Linked DNA regions of Callithrix jacchus. The protein of the gene in region 2 purifies or fractionates together with the protein of the main gene of each other region. This does not show direct contact. Links are inferred from orthologs where the notes say so. Each region holds a gene or a part of one and is shown on either strand. Other genes may lie near its edges.

Region 1 (5,986 bases), about 44 Mb from region 2:
AAAAAGGCAGCAAGGCCTTCATGGCCATCATTTCTGGCACACACAGCCATTCCAGGGCCCATGGAATGACTACTCATTAGCATTATTGGGCCTGACGATCCCTGGATATAAATCCTGCTATTTAGACAAACTAGGCCTTTCTTTAGCTCCTCAGGCTGACCCAAATAACTTGGTTACAGTGTGAGGGGTGAAGGTTGTTCCTGCTGCTGGGAGTGCTCTCGGTGGCAGACCTCACCTGCCAGTTGAGACAGGCCTCTCTTTTTTTTTTTGAGATGGGGTCTTATTCTGCCACCCAGGCTGGACTGCAGTGGCATAATCTCGGCTCACTGCAGCCTTGACCTCCTGGGCTCAGGCAATCCTCCCACACAGGACTACAGACACACACCATCATGGTCTGCTCATTTTGTTTGGGACCAGAGAAATCCACCACCATACCCAAGTGATTTTTCTACTTTTTGCAGAGATGAATTCTGCCATGTTGTCTGGCTTGGTCTTGAACTCCTGGGCTTAACAGATTTGCCTACTTCAACCTCCCAAACAGTTGGAATCATAGGTGTGAGCCACCGCACCCAGCCCCTTTCTGCCCTCAACCATGATGCAGAGGCCACTCTCGCTGGCCTATGCGGTAAAACAGCGAGTCTGGGGCTCAGCCTCCTGTTACGTATCTGCGCTCCAGTTTTGCAATGTAGACTCACAGATGCAGCAACACCTCTCTGGGGAGGAACATGTTACCTCTATTGTAAAAATGACTGGGGTCCAATTTACCCTTTACCCAAAAAGTCTGACATTTGCCAGACCTGACCCAGGCCCTCTGCACAGAATCAAATTGTTCCAGAATCACTTAAAAGAACTCCAACTGCAAAGTCCTGGGTGCCCTCTCACAAAAGGGCCTCGGCCTCTCTTCTTTAACCTGCCTGGCACTCAGCCCCTCTTAACAAGGCACCACAGACAAGGACAATCACACCAGCAAGGAGGGCAAAAGAAATATAGCTGGCCACTTCCCATAATTTCCACTGTTATACCTTGGGATCCAAGCCAGCATCACCCTCTCTCGGATTAATACTGGCCTCATTGCTTCCATCCCTGCCCTCTGACCTGTCTTCCCCAGCTAGTCTCCACTAGGGCAACCAGTGTGACCCTTTACAAGTAAAGGTAAATCACATGAATCTTCTGCTTGAACTCTAGGCAGGAAAGCCTTACCAAGGCTGAGGAAGACCTGCTGCTCTCTCTGCCTAACCCTCTCCCCCAACTCTGTTTGGCTCCTTCTGTCCAGCCACACTGGCCTCTTGTCCCAAACATGTCCAATCTGCTCCCACTTCAGAGCCTCTTCACTTCATGTTCCCTCTACTTGGAACAGCACTCTCCCAGGTATTTCTACAGGTGCACAATTCTACAGGTTGCTCACTTCCTTTCTTCGATTTTTTGTTCATTTGTCACCTCATCAGTGAGACTTTTCCTGACCACATTATAAAAAATATCGCCGTCTCTTCACCCCGTGTTTACTCAGTCTGATTTTTAGCATTTTGTGGAATGTGTTTCCCCTAAAACGTTAAGCTTGATGAGAAATAAGCCTTCCTTGTTGTAACTGCTGTATCCTCCAATGCCTAGAAAGTGACAGATCCCTAAATATTTTTGAATATGCCAGGGAAAGGGGTGGAGAGAGATGCCACCACAGCAAAGGTGGCCAAAGATAGTCTCTTAAGAGGTGCTCAAGTCGGGCGCAGTGGCTCACGCCTGTAATCCCAGCACGTTGGGAGGCTGAGGCTGGAGGGTTGTTTGAGCCCAGGAGTTCCAGACCAGCCTTGGCAACATACCGAGAGTCATCTCTACAAAAACAAAAAAAAAAACCCTGGTTCGAGACCAGCCTGGCCAATATGGTAAAACCCCATCTTTACTAAAAAGACAAAAAATTAGCTGGGCGTGGTGGTGTGCGCCTGCAGTCTCAGCTACTCGGGAGGCTGAGGTGGGAGGATCACGTAAGCCCAGGAGGTCGAGGCTGCAGGGACTTATTTTATCTATCTATCTATCTATCTATCTATCTATCTATCTATCTATTTATTTTTGAGAGGGAGTCTCGCTCTGTCGTACTCAGGCTGGAGTGCAGTGGTGTGATCTTGGCTTATTGCAACCTCCGCCTCCCGGGTTCAAGCGATTCTCCCGCCTCAGTCTCCCAAGTAGCTGGGATTACAGGCACCCGCCACCACACCCAGCTAACTTTTTGTATTTTTAGTAAAGATGGGATTTCACCATATTGGCCAGGCTAGTCTCGAACTCCCGACCTCAGATCAGATGATCCACCCGCCTCGCCTCCCAAAGTGCTGGGATTACAAGCGTAAGCCACCGTGCCCGGCCTGCAGTGACTTATGATCGCACCACTGCACCTCAGCCTGGGCAACGAAGCGAGACACTGTCTCAGAGAGGTCCTGTTAACTGACAGCTAAGAAAGAACAAGCCATGCAAGAGATAAGCATGCCAGGCAGAAACAACCGCAGATACACAATGCGACAACTTGAACAAGCCTGTGCTGGAAGAAGGGAAAGTAGAAAGGCAGCCAGGGTGGCGGGAGCGCAGGAAGTTGAGAAAGGGCCGAGGTTGGGAAAAGTGGGCCGAAACGAGTGGGGGGTGCTCAGGTGTTGTCTCCCGGCCCAGTTGGCCTTGCAAGAGCACTTTAAACTAGGCAAAAGCGTCCCGGCTCTCTGGATACCACCAGGCATCAGCCCCCTCTGGCGGTTCTACAGCCCCGAAGCCCCCATTCCAGCACAAAGCAAGGCAGCAGAAGACCTCGTAGATATTCCTGACGTCCTATTCTGCATCCCCGCCGCCCGAAGCCCTCACTGCAGGCTGGGCAGCCAGCCCGCGAAGTTCCCCAAAGAGTCCCAACGCTCCCTTCGCCCACCTTTCTTGTCGCGTTTGGATTTGGGCATCGCGTTGAATCCACGTGCGGCGGAAGACGGTGCACCCCGTTAAGACCCCGGCGGCGCGGGGACCTCTGGGACGGCCCTCGGGGGGCTGCCCCTCGCGTGTGCCTGACCCAATATGCGCTGCAGCCCGCCTGTCTCTGCCGAGGCGTCGCCTGCACTTTCTCCTGCGTCTGTGGGGCGTCTTCCTGCGTACTCAGGCGGCCCACGAACCCCGAGCGTCCCACCGAGGACCTTATACAAGGTCCCAGCTCTTTGGTCCCGCGGAGGTGGAGCCGCGGCGCGGTGTATGCCGGGACGGCGGCGGGCGGTGCCTACGCTCGCATTATGGCGGCGGAGTGGGCTTCTTATTTCTGGCTTTGGGCTACCCTGCTGATTTCTGTGGCCGCGGTCTACGAAGATCAAGTGGGCAAGTTTGATTGGTGCGTACGTGTGGAATATATTCGAGAGATAAGTGGCTGTTTCCTTAGTACCCGTCTCCTACCTGCTAAAGGGAGGGGGGTTGTCATGTAGCCGTATTGGCTACATAATTTGCGGGACCAGTACAAAATGAAAACGTGGCTCCTTGTTCAAAAATTATTAAGGATTTAAAGTCGTCGGAAGCAGAGCTTTAAACCAAGTATTAGAGTTCCCTCTAAGCTGATCCTTGTGTGTAAGCCGGCCCTGCCATGCAGTCATGCTTGGGGTGCTTGCTGGTCAGAGGTCACTGATCCCGTCCTCCCTCTCGTCAGGTTCCATTTCTTTGACTGTCAAGTTTCTGGTCTACCAGGTGTCAGAGGTCCCCAAGCCGTCAGTGAACTTTAATGCCTACTCGAATTGGTGTCTTGTAGACATGTGAACAGGACTTTCTTCTTGAAAGTCCTAAACTGAGTCCTTTCCCCCCTCTTCTCAATCTAGTCTGGCCCTGGGCTCAGAGCAGAATTGCCGAAAACACTAAGCAGCTAGAAGATGCCATTCATTCATTCATTCATTCACCCACCCACGTCCTCCTCAGGGCCCTGGAGTCGCTTGCTTTTGTTTGAATTTTGCCAATTAAGAGTTGTGTGATTTTGGGGAAAGTGACATAACCACTCTGTGCCTTGGTGTCTTTGTAGAATGGGTTTAGTAACAGTCCATTATCTCCTACAGTGCTTGTGAGAATGAATGAGACAATCCACTTACTTAGCACAATGCCTGGCTCATTGAATGTCACTAAATGTTACTTGTTGTTATTGCTATTTACACTTTATTCTTCAGGGCCCAGCTCAGATTTCTCCTCCTCTGAAGTATTTTCTGTCTTGGAAAAGTTGATTCACATATATGTCGAGTACCTGTTATGCCAGACAGTGTGACAAATAGAACATAAGTCACATTTTAAATGTCATATGTGTATATTACACATATATAGCAGGTGACATGTGTATCTAATTTTGCAGAATACTAGGTCAATGCAGTTTTCTTTCTTTTTTTTTTTTTTGAGACGGAGTTTCGCTCTTGTTACCCAGGCTGGAGTGCAACGGCGCGATCTCGGCTCACCGCAACCTCCGCCTCCTGGGTTCAGGCAATTCTCCTGCCTCAGCCTCCTGAGTAGCTGGGATTACAGGCACGCGCCACCAAGCCCAGCTAATTTTTTGTGTATTTAGTAGAGACGGGGTTTCACCATGTTGACCAGGATGGTCTTGATCTCTTGACCTCGTGATCCACCCGCCTCGGCCTGCCAGAGTGCTGGGATTACAGGCGTGAGCCACTGTGCCTGGCCTCTTTTCATGAATGAATGAATGGCATTTCCTAGCTGCTTCGTGTGTTGGGTAACCCTGCTCTGTGCCCAGGGCCAGGCTAGGCTGATGAGAGGGGGCAAAGGACTCAGGTTTTTTTTTTTTTTTTTGAGGCAAGGTCTCATTCTGTAACCCAGGCTGGAGTGTAGTACAATCACAGCTCACTGCAGCTCCAACCTCCCAGGTTCAAGTGACCCTCCCACCTCAGCCTCCTCAGTAGCTGGGACTACTGGTGCACACTTCTGTAGTTTCTTTGTATTTTTTTGTAGAGACTGGGTTTTGCTATGTTGACCAGGCTGGTCTTGAACACCTGGGCTCAAGTGATCCACCTGCCTTGGCCTCCCAAAGTGCTGGGATTACAGGTGTGAGCCACTGCACATGGTCTACAGTTTTCAGATTGAAAAATAAACAGAAGAATTACAGGTATGCATCACTTAATGATGGGAATACATTCTGAGAAATGCACTTTTGTGCAAACATTGTAGTGCGTACTTACCTAAACCTAGATGGTTTAGCCCACTGCGCACCTAGGTTATGTGGTATAGCCTGCTGTTCCTAGGCTATAAACCTGAACAGCGTGTTACTGTACCGAAAACTGTAGGCAGTTGTAACACAATGGTAAATATTTGTGTATCTAAACATAGAAAAGGCATAGTAAAAATGGGGTGTGAAAGATAAAAACTGGTACACCTGTATAGGGCGCTTACCATGAACGTATGTTGCAGGACTAGGAATTGTTGTGGAGTTGGTCAGTGCGTGGGCGGTGAGTAAATATAAAGACTTAGGACATTACTGTGCAACTACTGTGGACTTCATAAGCACTGTACATTTAGACTATACTACATTTATAAGATATTTTTCTTTCTTCAATAATAATTTAACCTCAGCTTAATGCAGCTTTTTAACTTTACATTTTATTTTTAAAAAATTTTTGACTTGTAATAATACTTAATGTAAAACACAAACACCCTTTACAGCTGTACAAACATATATTTTTAAAATTTATTTTTGACATGGGACCTTGCAGTGTTCCCCAGGCTGATCTTGAACTCCTGGGCTCAAGCAAACCTCCTGCCTCAGCCTCCTTAGCAGCTGGGGTTACAGGCACATGCTACCATGCCTGAGTTAATAATATTTTCCTTATATCAATATTCTGTGAGCTTTTTCCTACAATACTAAAAAAATTTTTTTTTCAGTCTTAAACTATTTTGTTAAAAACCAAGACACAGGTTGGGCACGATGGCTCACATCCATCACCTTAGCATTTTAGGAGGCTGAGGGGGTGGATGGCTTGGGCCCAGGAGTTCAAACCAG
Region 2 (5,891 bases):
CCAGAAAATCACAATGACAGGCAAGGATGCTGATTTTCATCAACACACACACATGGTGTAGGATGCTTGGTACTTCACCATTGTTGTTACAGCTCTGGGCCCATGATGAGTCATTATGGTTGTACATTCACAGATATGCCTTTGTGGCTGAACAAGTTAAAAGCAGGTGGCTCATGCCGGTAATCCCAATACTCTGGGAGGCCAAGGCGGGTGGATCACTTGAGGTCAGGGTTCAAGACCAGCCTGGCTAATATGGTGAAACCTCATCTCCACTAAAAATACAAAATATTAGCCAGGAGTGGTGGCCAGGGCCTGTAATCCCAGCTACTCAGGAGGCTGAAGCAGGAGAACTGCTTGAACTTGGGAGGTGGAGGTTGCAGTGAGCCGAGATTGTGCCACTTGCACTCCAGCCTGGGCGACAGACCAAGACTCTGTCTCAAAAAAAAAGAAGAGAATTAAAGAAAGGATGTTTGCACAACTGAAGCAAAGTAAATACTTATGTAAATACCAGATTAAAAGAAAAAGAAAGAGGAATTGGGCATGTCAGAGTGAGAGAAAGTGGGAGAGGTTGAGGAAACATGAGATTCTAAAAAAAAAAAGGCAATAAGTACTAGCATAGCTTTGCTAATCTTGGAAATGGTGGCCAGAATTGTCTGCGGTTTAGCAAATGATGATAGCCAGCTAATAATCCTAATTACCCTAGAATCTTCCTTTAGAAGTGCCACAAAGCTGTAGGAGGTATGCTTATCTGCCTTGCTTGTGACACAAAAATGGAAGCATAGTTAATATAATAGATGAGAAACGCATGACTCAGAATGATTTTCAATATTGGAATGTTGGGAATCTATGGAAGGTATTTTTGTGTAAGGACAATAGGACTTGTTTAAAAAGACTGGAGAGTTGGGGGCATCCCATATGTGTGAGAAGCAGTACCGCTAGTGGTCAGAAGCAGGTTTGCTGGAGCCAAGGTGCCTGGGTTCAAAGCTCACCTCTGCTCCGTTAGCTGCACAACCATGGGCTGCTTTCGAGCCTTGCTGTGCCTTGGATTCCCCACGTACTCCATAAGGCTGTTGCAGGAATTAAATGAGTTAATAGTAGTCAACAGCTCTGAACAGTGCTTGACCGAGTCAGCCCTACCTTAGGTTTAACTTAAGGGATGTAGCCCTGGGTCCCCTAAGGGAGTGGCCACACTATTCACAAACACGAACGCAGTAAGCGCCCAAAGGCTCTATCCTCACCAACCTCCTCAGCTGGACCCGACAGAACTGTCTCCCAACTGCTCCCGGGCTCTCCCGAGGAGCTGTGCGGAACCAGCTTGCCTTACATCAGGCTTTACCTTCTCCGCCCGTTTTGGGATTTAACAAGTACGAGAAAGGGCTGCAGGGGAGCCGCAAGGGCCTCCTCAACACCACGCGCGCGAGGACGGGGTAGGGGAGAGGGCGCTTGACCTGCTCCATACCCGCAGCCAGGGCATGCCCCACACGCGCGCTTCCCTCCTCCTCTGCGTGTCTCGCCGAGACCCGGGACCCCTAGACTCCTGGATCCTCTAGAGCCTCTGAACCCCTAAACCCCCATGCATTACCCAAATCCCAAGACCCCAGACTTCCCAACCCTGGCCCAGGGCAGTGGCTAGGGGCCTGAACCCGCGTCCAAAAACCCGGAGGTTTTTGTCGGGAGTCCTCGCTTTACACAGCAGGAATTTAGTCTCCGCGCGCCCCCTAAAATCCGGGCGTCCTCTCCCCGACGCCCTCACCCACGGGGCCCCCACACGCCCTTCGTGGCTGACCTCCAGGCCGGGTGGGTGCGCTGTGCGACGCGGAAAGCGCCATAGAGGACGCAGGACACGTTGGGCTGAGCTCTCGGAAGTGACGCACCAGCAGCGCCCGTCGGCGGAAGTCCCACCTTCGCCCGATAGCGGAAGTTCCGGGAGTGCCCCGTCCCCGCGTGCTTACGGCAGCCGGCATGGCGCACTACAACTTCAAGAAAATTACGGTGGTACCGTCCGCCAAGGTAGGTGGCTGCGGGAGGGCCACTCCGACTTAGCGGGGTCGCCGGCGAGTGTCCGGACCTGTAGCCGTGGGAGACCGCTCCCGGGCCCGACCTGCTGGCCGCGTACTCGTGATCATTTCCCCTCCCCCTACAGAATCCGGGGTCCACCAGAGATCGGACCCCCCCAGAGACCCGGGTCCACCCAAAGACTGAGGTCCGCCCAGAGAGACCCGGGTCCCCGGAGATCGAGGTCCGCCTACAGAAGGGTTCTCTGGAGGGGCCCCAAAGGTGACGAGGTGGGCGAGTGGAGGCGGACCCCGACATGTAAGGGAGAAGCACTCGGTGGTTGATGATGAGCCTTTGGGTTCTGGGTTTGGCGTAGCCCCCTCCTCTCTCTGGAAGCCTCGGTTCGTTGCTCTCGTGATTTAACATTTCTTAATTTTTAAATCATTCTCTTTCACTGTTGGATTTGGGAATTCCTGTTCTTTTTCTGTCTATAGCAGGCCCAGACTAAATTCGTACAGCGTTGGTGTGTGTGGCAAGAATGAGTCAAAAAGTGTTGAGCATTAGGACTTTTTTTTATTTTTTGTTTTTTAAATTTTTATTTGTTTAAAGATGGGATTTCACCATGTTGGTCAGGCTGGACTTGAACTCCCAACCTCAGGTGATCCGCCCTCCTTGGCCTCCAAAGTGCTTGGATTACAGGCCTGAGCCACCACTCCCAGCCAGGACTTTCTTTTTGAGACTGAGTTTTTTGCTCTTGTTGCCCAGGGTGGAGTGCAATGGCCAGATCTCGGCTCACTGCAGCCTCTGCTTCCCAGGTTCAAGTGACTCTCCTGCCTCAGCCTCCCGAGTAGCTGGGATTACAGGCGCACGCCGCCAGGTCTGGCTAATTTTTGTGTTTTCAGTAGAGACGGGGTTTCACCATGTTGGCCAGACTGGTCTCGAACTCCTGATCTCAAGTGATCCACTTGCCTCAGCCTCCAAAAGTGCTGGGATTACAGGCGTAAACCATCACTCCCAGCCAGATTGTAGTATTTTCCAGTGCAGGAATCATATCTTCTTTTTATTTTTGATCAACCATATCTCAAGTTTGTTGATGGAATTTGCTCTTTGGATTATATGAACTTCGGTAATGTAATTGACTTATGTGGAGAACTTTGGAATATATTAGTACACCATCTGTTTTCTGTTTTGTGGAAAGATTTGTGTTTTAGAGAACAGATGACTTTACCTATCTGAAAAGGGTGATGGTAATTGTTTGGTAATTGGAAGTTTAAAAAAATTACACCAGGAAAGTTTGGGATTCAGTTCGTCCTAGAAGATGTTAAGTGAACGCCTGTCCTGTGCATCAGGTACTGTGTTACAAAAAATGCATAAAATACCTGGAAGTCATTTGGAAGTCATTTTCAAGAGGGGTAAGCAGAATCACTTTTGACCATAATAGAAATAAAACATGGTTATCATGGAGGACACACATGGATTGGGAGAGGATAAGAGTGTAAGTAGCTGTGGTTAGTATGAGAGTCAAGGGCAACCTCCTGAAGTAGGTAACATTTGAACTGTGCCTCCTTCAGGATGTGTGAATACCATTAGGTGCAGAAGAATGTAGGGGAGATCTTGTGTAGGCCCAGAGGGGAGAATGTGCGTGCCCCTCATAGTACGATACTTGGCAGACGATTGGTACGATACTTCTGTCACTGGACCCTGAATTCCTTGAAGGGACAGTATCTTGTTCATTATGTTCAGCACCTGAGTATCCCAACAACCTTTGTATGAAATAATACTGAATCAAATTGTTGAATTAATCAAAGTGTTCAAGAAAAAAGATCAAGTAATTTTGTGTGCCTAGGTAGTGGCTAGATACATCGGATTGAGAAATCCTTGGGATCGGATCCTTATTAAAGAGAAGTGCTGACTCTTTGCACTGGGAAACTCATTAAAAATCCTTCATCTCCTCAAATAGTCCCCTTCCATGCTCTTAGGAAATTCTAAACAGTGGGTTTTAGTTTTACCTGTTATTTTATGTATTTTCAAAGTCCAAGATATGCGTAAAGAAATGGGAGGATTGTTTCTTTTTCTCAACTGTTTTTTCTAATTTATGGTTGAGTTCTCTGACTACTTAAGCTTCAAAGGTTCTTAGGTATTTGGAAATTAAGATAGCACCAAGAAATTATGGGGTAAAATTTATCTTAGCAGCCATGTGTTTCTTAAAGGCTAGAAACTGTAAAAATGAACAAGGTTGTATATGAAACAGTTAGAGTAAAATTTTGTAATTTAAAATACGTAGTACTGTAAGATGTCAGTGTTTTAAGAGGGTTTCAAATAAATGGATCAGAAGTAGATACTTTTGATTTAATTATGGCTTATTTTCTTTAATTGCAGGACTTTATTGACCTGACATTGTCGAAGACTCAACGAAAGACTCCAACCGTTATTCATAAACATTACCAAATTCATCGCATTAGACATTTTTACATGAGAAAAGTCAAATTTACTCAACAGAATTACCATGATAGACTTTCACAAATTCTAACAGATTTTCCTAAGTTGGATGTAAGTGACTTGGGGGACTCTATGTTTATGTAAATATGAGCCTTCAGGGAACCAGTGTTTAACCAGTTTTGTGTACTCATGTGACAGAAAGGGAGACAGGATAATTGACTTAGACTGCTCAGTAAGTTACTGGCAATGAACCATCTTGTTGAATTAATAAAAGTGGGAACAGAATATGGGTTTTTTGATTCTCTAATAGTCTCTCTTTCCTCCAACCAAACCCTGTCTAAGGGGGCACAAAGCTGCTTCTCAGGCTTTCTGTGTAATCCCTGAGCTTGCAGGGGTGAACCCAAGTGGTAATGGTAGCTGTGGGTTAGGAACGCAGAAGCTGACAGCTCGCTGGTGCATCTCCTTCACCCTCTTTTCAAGGGTTTTTTCCCTCCTCAGCTCAGCTTGGGTCAGTGGCATAAAGTCCACCACTGTTTGTGACCTTGTTGCTTCATTAGTGGATGACAGTCAGTTCAGTACTGTGTTCTTCTCTGGCAAGGTCACATGAGGAGCTATGCTTTTTTCATTAAGCCAGAAACCTTGAGCTCCCTTCTCTGCCACACATTGCAGTTTGCCTGTTTCTTTTTTTTTCTTTGAGACTGAGCCTCACTTTCTTGCCGAGGCTGGAGTGTAGTGGTGGGCGTAGTGTCGGCTCACTGCAACCCCTACCTCCTGGGTTCAGGTGATTCGTGTGCCTCAGCCTCCTGTGTAGCTGGGATTAGAGGTGCACACCATCATGCCTGGCGAATTTTTGGTAATTTTAGTAGAGATGGTTCCACCATGTTAGCCAGGCTAGACTTAATCTCCGGACTTCAAGTGATCCTCCTGTGTCTGCCTCTCAGAGTGCTGGATTACAGGCGTTAGCCACCATACCCAGCCTGCCTGTTGAGCTATAGAAAAGCAAGAGCAGAAACTGATTGGCAGGCACTGCTGACAAAGCCTTGACACCGTGTATAGGGCAGTGTGGTTGCAAGATTACTTGAGGTTGTGAAGGGTGTGGGGATCAGCAGTATAGTCTTAAAGCCTAAATCTACCATTGCCCCGGAATAGTCCCTGAAGGTAGGTGGAGGCAGAGAAAAACATTTGGCTTCTGTGACAGTACTTTTTATTTAAACAAGTAATAATGACTTACTAAAAGACAAAAGTGCTTAAAATAAAAGGCAAAAATTCCTGCTAGAATTTAGAATTGACAGACACTTAGGTTGTATCTATCCAGGGTTTGATACAGTTGTTCAGTAGATGCTTCTTGAATGAGTGGATGGTTTCTTGGGAAAGGGAGAGAGTACCTGGGGGTAAGGAAAGTGATTAAGAAAGAGATTATTCTAAACTGATTTGGTATTAGGAGACACTTGATCTTA
Region 3 (5,986 bases), on a different chromosome or scaffold from region 2:
CATGCTGAAACCCCGCCTCTACTAAAAATAAAAAAAAAATTAAAAAATTAAAAAACTGCCGGGAGTGGTGGCGGGCACCTATATCCCAGCTACTCCGGAGTCTGAGGCAGAAGAATAGCTTGAACCCGGGAAGCAGAAGTTGCAGTGAGACGAGATCGCTCCATTGCACTCTAGCCTGGGCAACAAGAGCGAAACTCTGTCTCAAAAAAAAAAAAAAGCCTCTAAGCCGGGAGCTGTGGCTCACGCCTATAATCCCAACACTTCAGGAGGCCGAGGCGGCTGGATTGATTGTACCCCGGAGTTTGAGACCAGCCTGGGCAACATGGTGAAACCCCGTCCTACAAAAATTTTAAAAATTAGGCAGGCGTGGTGGCCCGCGCCAGTAGCTCTCTACGTTTGAGGCTGAGATCGGAGGATCGCTGGATCCCGGGATGTAGAGGCTGCAGTGAGCCGAGATCGCGCCACTGCACTCCAGCCTGAGCGAAATGCCGTCTCAAAAAAAAACCCCACAAAAACAAAACAAAATACTGCCTCAAGTCCAAGCACCAAAAATTAATGAAAGTATTCTTTTGCTACAGTTCTTTTCGCTCCAGTCAACTGAATCACGTTCCAAGCTGTGAATTAAGAGAACTTCTGCAACTGTGCAGTAAAAGGGCAAAATTGGCAGTGTCTTTAAGTGACGTACTTTCTTGTAGTGAATTACTTCCTGGCACTAGGGGGCACTAAATGCAAGTCCACTCAGCACTTGATTCGATGCACTAAAATACCTCAGGAATTTCTGAAATCAGCCCTGTACCTCCAAAAACCCAGAATGTTGTCTTTCTTTTCTGACAATTGCAAAAGCCCAGTAGTTCCACTTTTCCGTACGGTAAGTTTTCATTCCTCAGTAACCTTCACAATCATGCACACATTACCCACAGTGACCGGAACAACTTGAGTCGCCCTCCCGAAGGATAGAGAAAAATTTACAAGAGCTTCTGAAAGAAGCATTACACATAGAAAGAAACAACCAGTATTAGCCTTTCTAAAAATATACCAAAAAGTAAAGAGCATCAACATAAAGAAGAATTTACATCAACGAATGAATAAAACAGCCAGTTAACATCAAATGGCAGTAATCCTAAATTTAAATCGACTCAATCCCGTAATCAAAAGATACAGCCAAAACCCAACGGTATGCTACATCCAGACCCATTTCACATGCAAGGATACACAAAGACTCAAAACAAAGGGATGGAGAAAGATTTACCAACCAAATGGAGAGCAAAAATAAATAAATAAATAAAAAGCAGGAGTTGCAATTCTCGCATCTCATAAAATTGATTTTAAAGTAACAAAGATATAGTGGTAAAAGGATCAATGCAACAATAAGAGCTGACCATTCTAACAACCAGATACATAGAGACTAAGACTCAATGAGACAGAAAGTTAATAAGGATATCCAGGACTCGAACTCAGATCCTGAACAAGTAAACAATAATATTTATAGAGCTCTCCACTTTAAATACACAAAATATACATTCTTGTCAATACCACATCACATCTACTCATAGGTTTAAATGAAATTGATTGGCCATTATGAATACCCATTTTTTAGAATAAAGCAACATTTCTGTTCTCTCTCCCTCTTTTTCTTCCTCTTGCTTCCTCTCCTTCACTCCTTTTTTTTTTTTTCTTTCCTTCTCTCCAAAAAAAAAAAAAAAAAAAAAAAAAGATAAAAACTTCCCCACTGAGCGAACACCGAGGGGAGTCCGGAGATCGGAGGATCGCTGGATCCCGGGATGTAGACCCTGCTGTCCTCCTCCGTGGCTGGCTGTGTCCGTCGCAGCCTGGAAGGTCAGCTGTACCCAGCGCAGGACAGGGTCATAGGCCCGCAGTGTCTCAGAGCTTGGAGCGCTACTCACCTGGCATTAGGTTGCGTACCGCCGTCCAGCTAGTCACCGCTAGGTTGTTGAAGCAGGAGGCGCAGGTCGTGCCGAAGTCTGCAACAGCCTCAAGTCCCGTCGCCTGCCTGAACACACGACAGTGTACCTAAACTAAAGGAACGTAGGATTTTTCCGCTTTTCCGCCCTGAGCAGCCACCCTTCAACACTTCCGGCGGTGCACCGGCCAAACGCCGCCAGCCAGCAACTTCCGTTCTCCTAGCTGAACGCGGAAAACGGAGGCTCGGAAGTGCTGCGTGAGCTTGGTTTTCACTCGGCGGTTTAAAAAGATTACCCTTTCCTGTCGCGGCCTGCGTGGTGTCGGCTCTTGGGTTTCAGAGACCTGAATATTAAGAGCATTTTTACACCCCAGGGGCCGCTAGTGGCGACTCTGCGGCCATCACCATGGTAAGGAGGATGCCTCGGACGCTCGCGACATAGGGCGTCTCAGTTCATAGGACCTGAGGGTTCTAGGGAGCTGGGGCATGGGGTGAGTGGTGTTTGGCGGAAATGAGAACTTCTGAGGGAAAAAGATGGTGGACTCCTTGGGGTGGCCTCTGAGAAGTGGAAACAACTTCACGTTAGAGACACGGAGAGTATTTGCCGGAATACAAGCTTTGGAGCAAGACAGATTTTACTCTGTCTTGTTTTTTCTTTTTTATCCACTGCTAAGAATCCTACAAATTCCTGATTTCACTACAAGCGTGGTTATCAGCACCAGTCTAATGGGAATGTGGCTGTGCTTTGTTACAACCTTAGATGTTAATCCCTGACCCTTCATTTTACTGCTGAGGAAACTGAAGGCGTCCTTGCCAAAGATCAGGCAGCTAACGAATTGCGAAGCCGAGCTTAACGCTCAGATCTAACTGCCAGATCTTTTGTCTGTCTGCTACGTCTCTAATATGCGTTTCTTTGCACAGTGGCATTCCACACACCGTTCGTATGTGTGGAGTTGCTGCAAAGTTTATGTGATAGCACACCTTGTTGGTTGTTACTTAACATTTTTCTCTGTTCTGGACTTGTCTTTGTGTCATTTTTATTTTTGCAGTCTTAAAATACAAATAGACTTGCGCCTGTTTAAAACGCGTCTAAAATGCAAAAGCTTCCCATACATTGCTGCTGGAATGCAAAATAATACACTTTGGAAAACTGTCCGACATTAAACATATGTCCACATGAAGACTTAAATGCAGTTGTTTATTTTAGCTTTATTCATAATCAGCCCAAACTGGAAACAACCCAGATAACTATTAACTGGTCGCTGGGTAAATCAACAGTGGTATATCCATACGATAGCATACTACTCAACAATGAAAAGGATTGAAGTACCTATACCTGCAACAAATTGGATGAATCCCAAGAGCAAGAAAGCAGATGCAAAAAGCTATTTACTACTGTTGATCCCTGTTACATTCTGGGAAAGGTAAAACTATAGGGATAGGTATCAAATTGAGAGTTGGGAAGGAGGATCGACTTCAAAGTGACACAAGGCAATTTTAGGGGGAAATAGAAATTCTCTGTATTTTGATTGTGGTGGTTATAGAACTGTAGTCAGTCAAAAGTTAGAACTGCGCAGCTAGAAAGGACAAGTTTTACTGTGTATAAATTATGGTTCAATGAAAGTGACTTAAATTTTTAAAATAAAATTTGAAATGAAGACGTGATTTAAAAAGCAAATTATGTCAAGGAAAAAAGATCCTCTAATCAGGATCTAATAGATTTTGGACCATTCCCTACTGAGATTATTAGAGATGTAAGCGCTAAAACCTCATATTCAAGATCAAAATTTAACTGACAAAAATTTAACTTACATCATGTGAATAGACTTACTGGTGCAAGAATCATTTAAGTAAGTGAACATTTGGATGAAACAGGGTCTTAACTACTTTAGTGTATGTAAAAGAGTGCATTTTAGAATAATTGTCAGTACTTTAAAAAATTAAAATAACATTAATTGCATCATTATAGCCACAGAACGAATATATAGAATTACATCGTAAACGCTATGGATACCGTTTGGATTACCATGAGAAAAAGAGAAAGAAGGAAAGTCGAGAGGCTCATGAACGTTCAAAGAAGGCAAAGAAAATGATTGGTCTGAAAGCTAAGCTTTACCATAAACAGCGCCACGCTGAGAAAATACAAATGAAAAAGACGTAAGTGGTCCAATTTATTTGTAATAACAACTTAACAGCTTTTGAGTAATCATTATTAAAACAGATAATCTTGAGTATTTTTTCCTTCTTGGTAGTATCAAGATGCATGAAAAGAGAAACACCAAACAAAAGAATGATGAGAAGACTCCACAGGGAGCAGTACCTGCCTATCTTCTGGACAGAGAAGGACAATCTCGAGCTAAAGTACTTTCCAATATGATTAAACAGAAACGAAAAGAGAAGGCGGTAAGCAGTATTAATTTAAGTCTTTGTTTTGTTTAGGAGAATTACTTACATTCAAATTTGAGGTTCTTACTTCTTCAGTTTAATTTGAAAACACATGAAATACGACTATTATTCCCATTATTTAGATGTTGAAGTCTTGGTAAATTTAATAATAAAAATCTTGCTCTCTCATAAGGTTTTAGAATTTTTTTAAAAAAATTCTTAGAATGCCATATGAAATTAAAACAAAAAGTTAGTAAGGAGTGAATTTCAAACACAGTATTTGTCTTCCCATTTGAAAACCCACGACGTTATGCAGTCTTAAAGAAAAATACAAATGCTTCTTATTTGTGCTGCCCTGTAATGCCAAAATTAGTTAAAAATTAGAATGGTGGAAAACTCCTTAAGTGGTCACAAAAATGTGGCTTTTTTTAAACACCTGTGAACAGATTAGCAGAAATCCAGATAAAAGAATATGAGGTATCTATATTTAAAGAATTCTACTGCCTTACACGACTTCAGTTTTTTCATAGAATTTGTGCTCCAGGGAGGCATAAAACATCTGGTGAGGGCTTTGTCTTACTAGTAATCTACAAATCCATTTCGGGAAGAAATGCAAAGACATAAGAGGTGAAAACACTCTTCCAGTGTTATGCTATTAAACATACACTGCTTATAGCCATCACCATCGGCTGGGTGCAGTGGTTCATGCCTATAATCCCAGCACTTTGGGAAGAAGAGACAGGTGGATCACCTGAGGTCAGCAGTTCAAGACCAGCCTGACCAATATTATAATACCCCCACCTTCTACTAAAAATACAAAAATTAGGTCCAGCCTGGGCAACAGAGCAAGACTCCATTTCAAAATAAAAGTCACCATTATATTACAGATGGTATTTTTTTCACCCATAACACAGCATTAAGATTTTTTGCTTAAGCCAACAATTTATTTAATGTACCCATGATATATAAACTTAACTAGTTTTGTTTAATTTGCAGCTTGTGAGGAGTCAACACAGAGCTCTAGAAAAACAGTTGAGCCAAAAATGTGTTGATGGCTAAGCAAAAAAATGATCTACTGCTTTGTACAACTAAAGCATATTTGACTTATCATTGCCCTTTAAATACAAACTTTAACTGTGACATATTTTTAGGGAAAATGGGAAGTCCCTCTGCCTAAAGTCCGTGCCCAGGGAGAAACAGAAGTATTAAAAGTTATTCGAACAGGAAAGAGAAAGAAGAAGGCATGGAAGAGGATGGTTACTAAAGTATGCTTTGTTGGAGATGGCTTTACAAGAAAACCACCTAAATATGAAAGATTCATAAGGCCAATGGTAAGTTCTTGGAAGAGTATAGTGACCAAAATATTAGTTATCTTTGTTAAGTTGGATAAAGAACATTATAATTTCCCAAAATTCTTTAAATTGATGTGGAACAGGTTGAAAGATATTTTTGTGCTATTTTTGTTATTCTAACTTAGTGATAGAAGTTATTTAGTACTTTCTCCAGTAGTCAAAAATCTTCAGGTTCATAAAGATTTGAAAAAATAGTGTCATAAGACATTGTCAGTGAATTCTGACTTTTAAATATGACATAATAGAATCTTAATTTTCCACACACAGTCATATTTTCCTCATTCAGCTAGTGATCTACTATATGCCTGATACTGTCTAGGCCTCGGAC

What was found.
Region 1: the proteins of GTPBP4 (region 2) and MRTO4 purify together in Homo sapiens (affinity purification with mass spectrometry; 3 studies listed by BioGRID and IntAct, counting the BioPlex papers as one, with this or other methods). This does not show direct contact. The link is inferred for Callithrix jacchus from reciprocal best matches to the Homo sapiens genes GTPBP4 and MRTO4.
Region 3: the proteins of GTPBP4 (region 2) and NSA2 purify together in Homo sapiens (affinity purification with mass spectrometry; 3 studies listed by BioGRID and IntAct, counting the BioPlex papers as one, with this or other methods). This does not show direct contact. The link is inferred for Callithrix jacchus from reciprocal best matches to the Homo sapiens genes GTPBP4 and NSA2.

What each region holds. Positions count from the first base shown.
Region 1 is NC_133508.1:56,163,577-56,169,562, reverse strand, and holds the start of MRTO4 (mRNA turnover protein 4 homolog), read right to left. Parts: upstream 3,182-5,986; 5' UTR 2,925-3,181; coding exon 2,897-2,924; intron 1-2,896. Other genes in the region: EMC1 (ER membrane protein complex subunit 1), read left to right, coding at 3,246-3,340. UniProt on the Homo sapiens protein: Component of the ribosome assembly machinery. Nuclear paralog of the ribosomal protein P0, it binds pre-60S subunits at an early stage of assembly in the nucleolus, and is replaced by P0 in cytoplasmic pre-60S subunits and mature 80S ribosomes.
Region 2 is NC_133508.1:12,114,640-12,120,530, reverse strand, and holds the start of GTPBP4 (GTP-binding protein 4), read left to right. Parts: upstream 1-1,936; 5' UTR 1,937-1,962; coding exon 1,963-2,010; exon of another isoform or gene 2,011-2,396; intron 2,397-4,374; coding exon 4,375-4,545; intron 4,546-5,891. UniProt on the Homo sapiens protein: Involved in the biogenesis of the 60S ribosomal subunit. Acts as a TP53 repressor, preventing TP53 stabilization and cell cycle arrest.
Region 3 is NC_133503.1:136,299,698-136,305,683, reverse strand, and holds the start of NSA2 (ribosome biogenesis protein NSA2 homolog), read left to right. Parts: upstream 1-2,218; 5' UTR 2,219-2,327; coding exon 2,328-2,330; intron 2,331-3,890; coding exon 3,891-4,078; intron 4,079-4,173; coding exon 4,174-4,324; intron 4,325-5,457; coding exon 5,458-5,637; intron 5,638-5,986. UniProt on the Homo sapiens protein: Involved in the biogenesis of the 60S ribosomal subunit. May play a part in the quality control of pre-60S particles.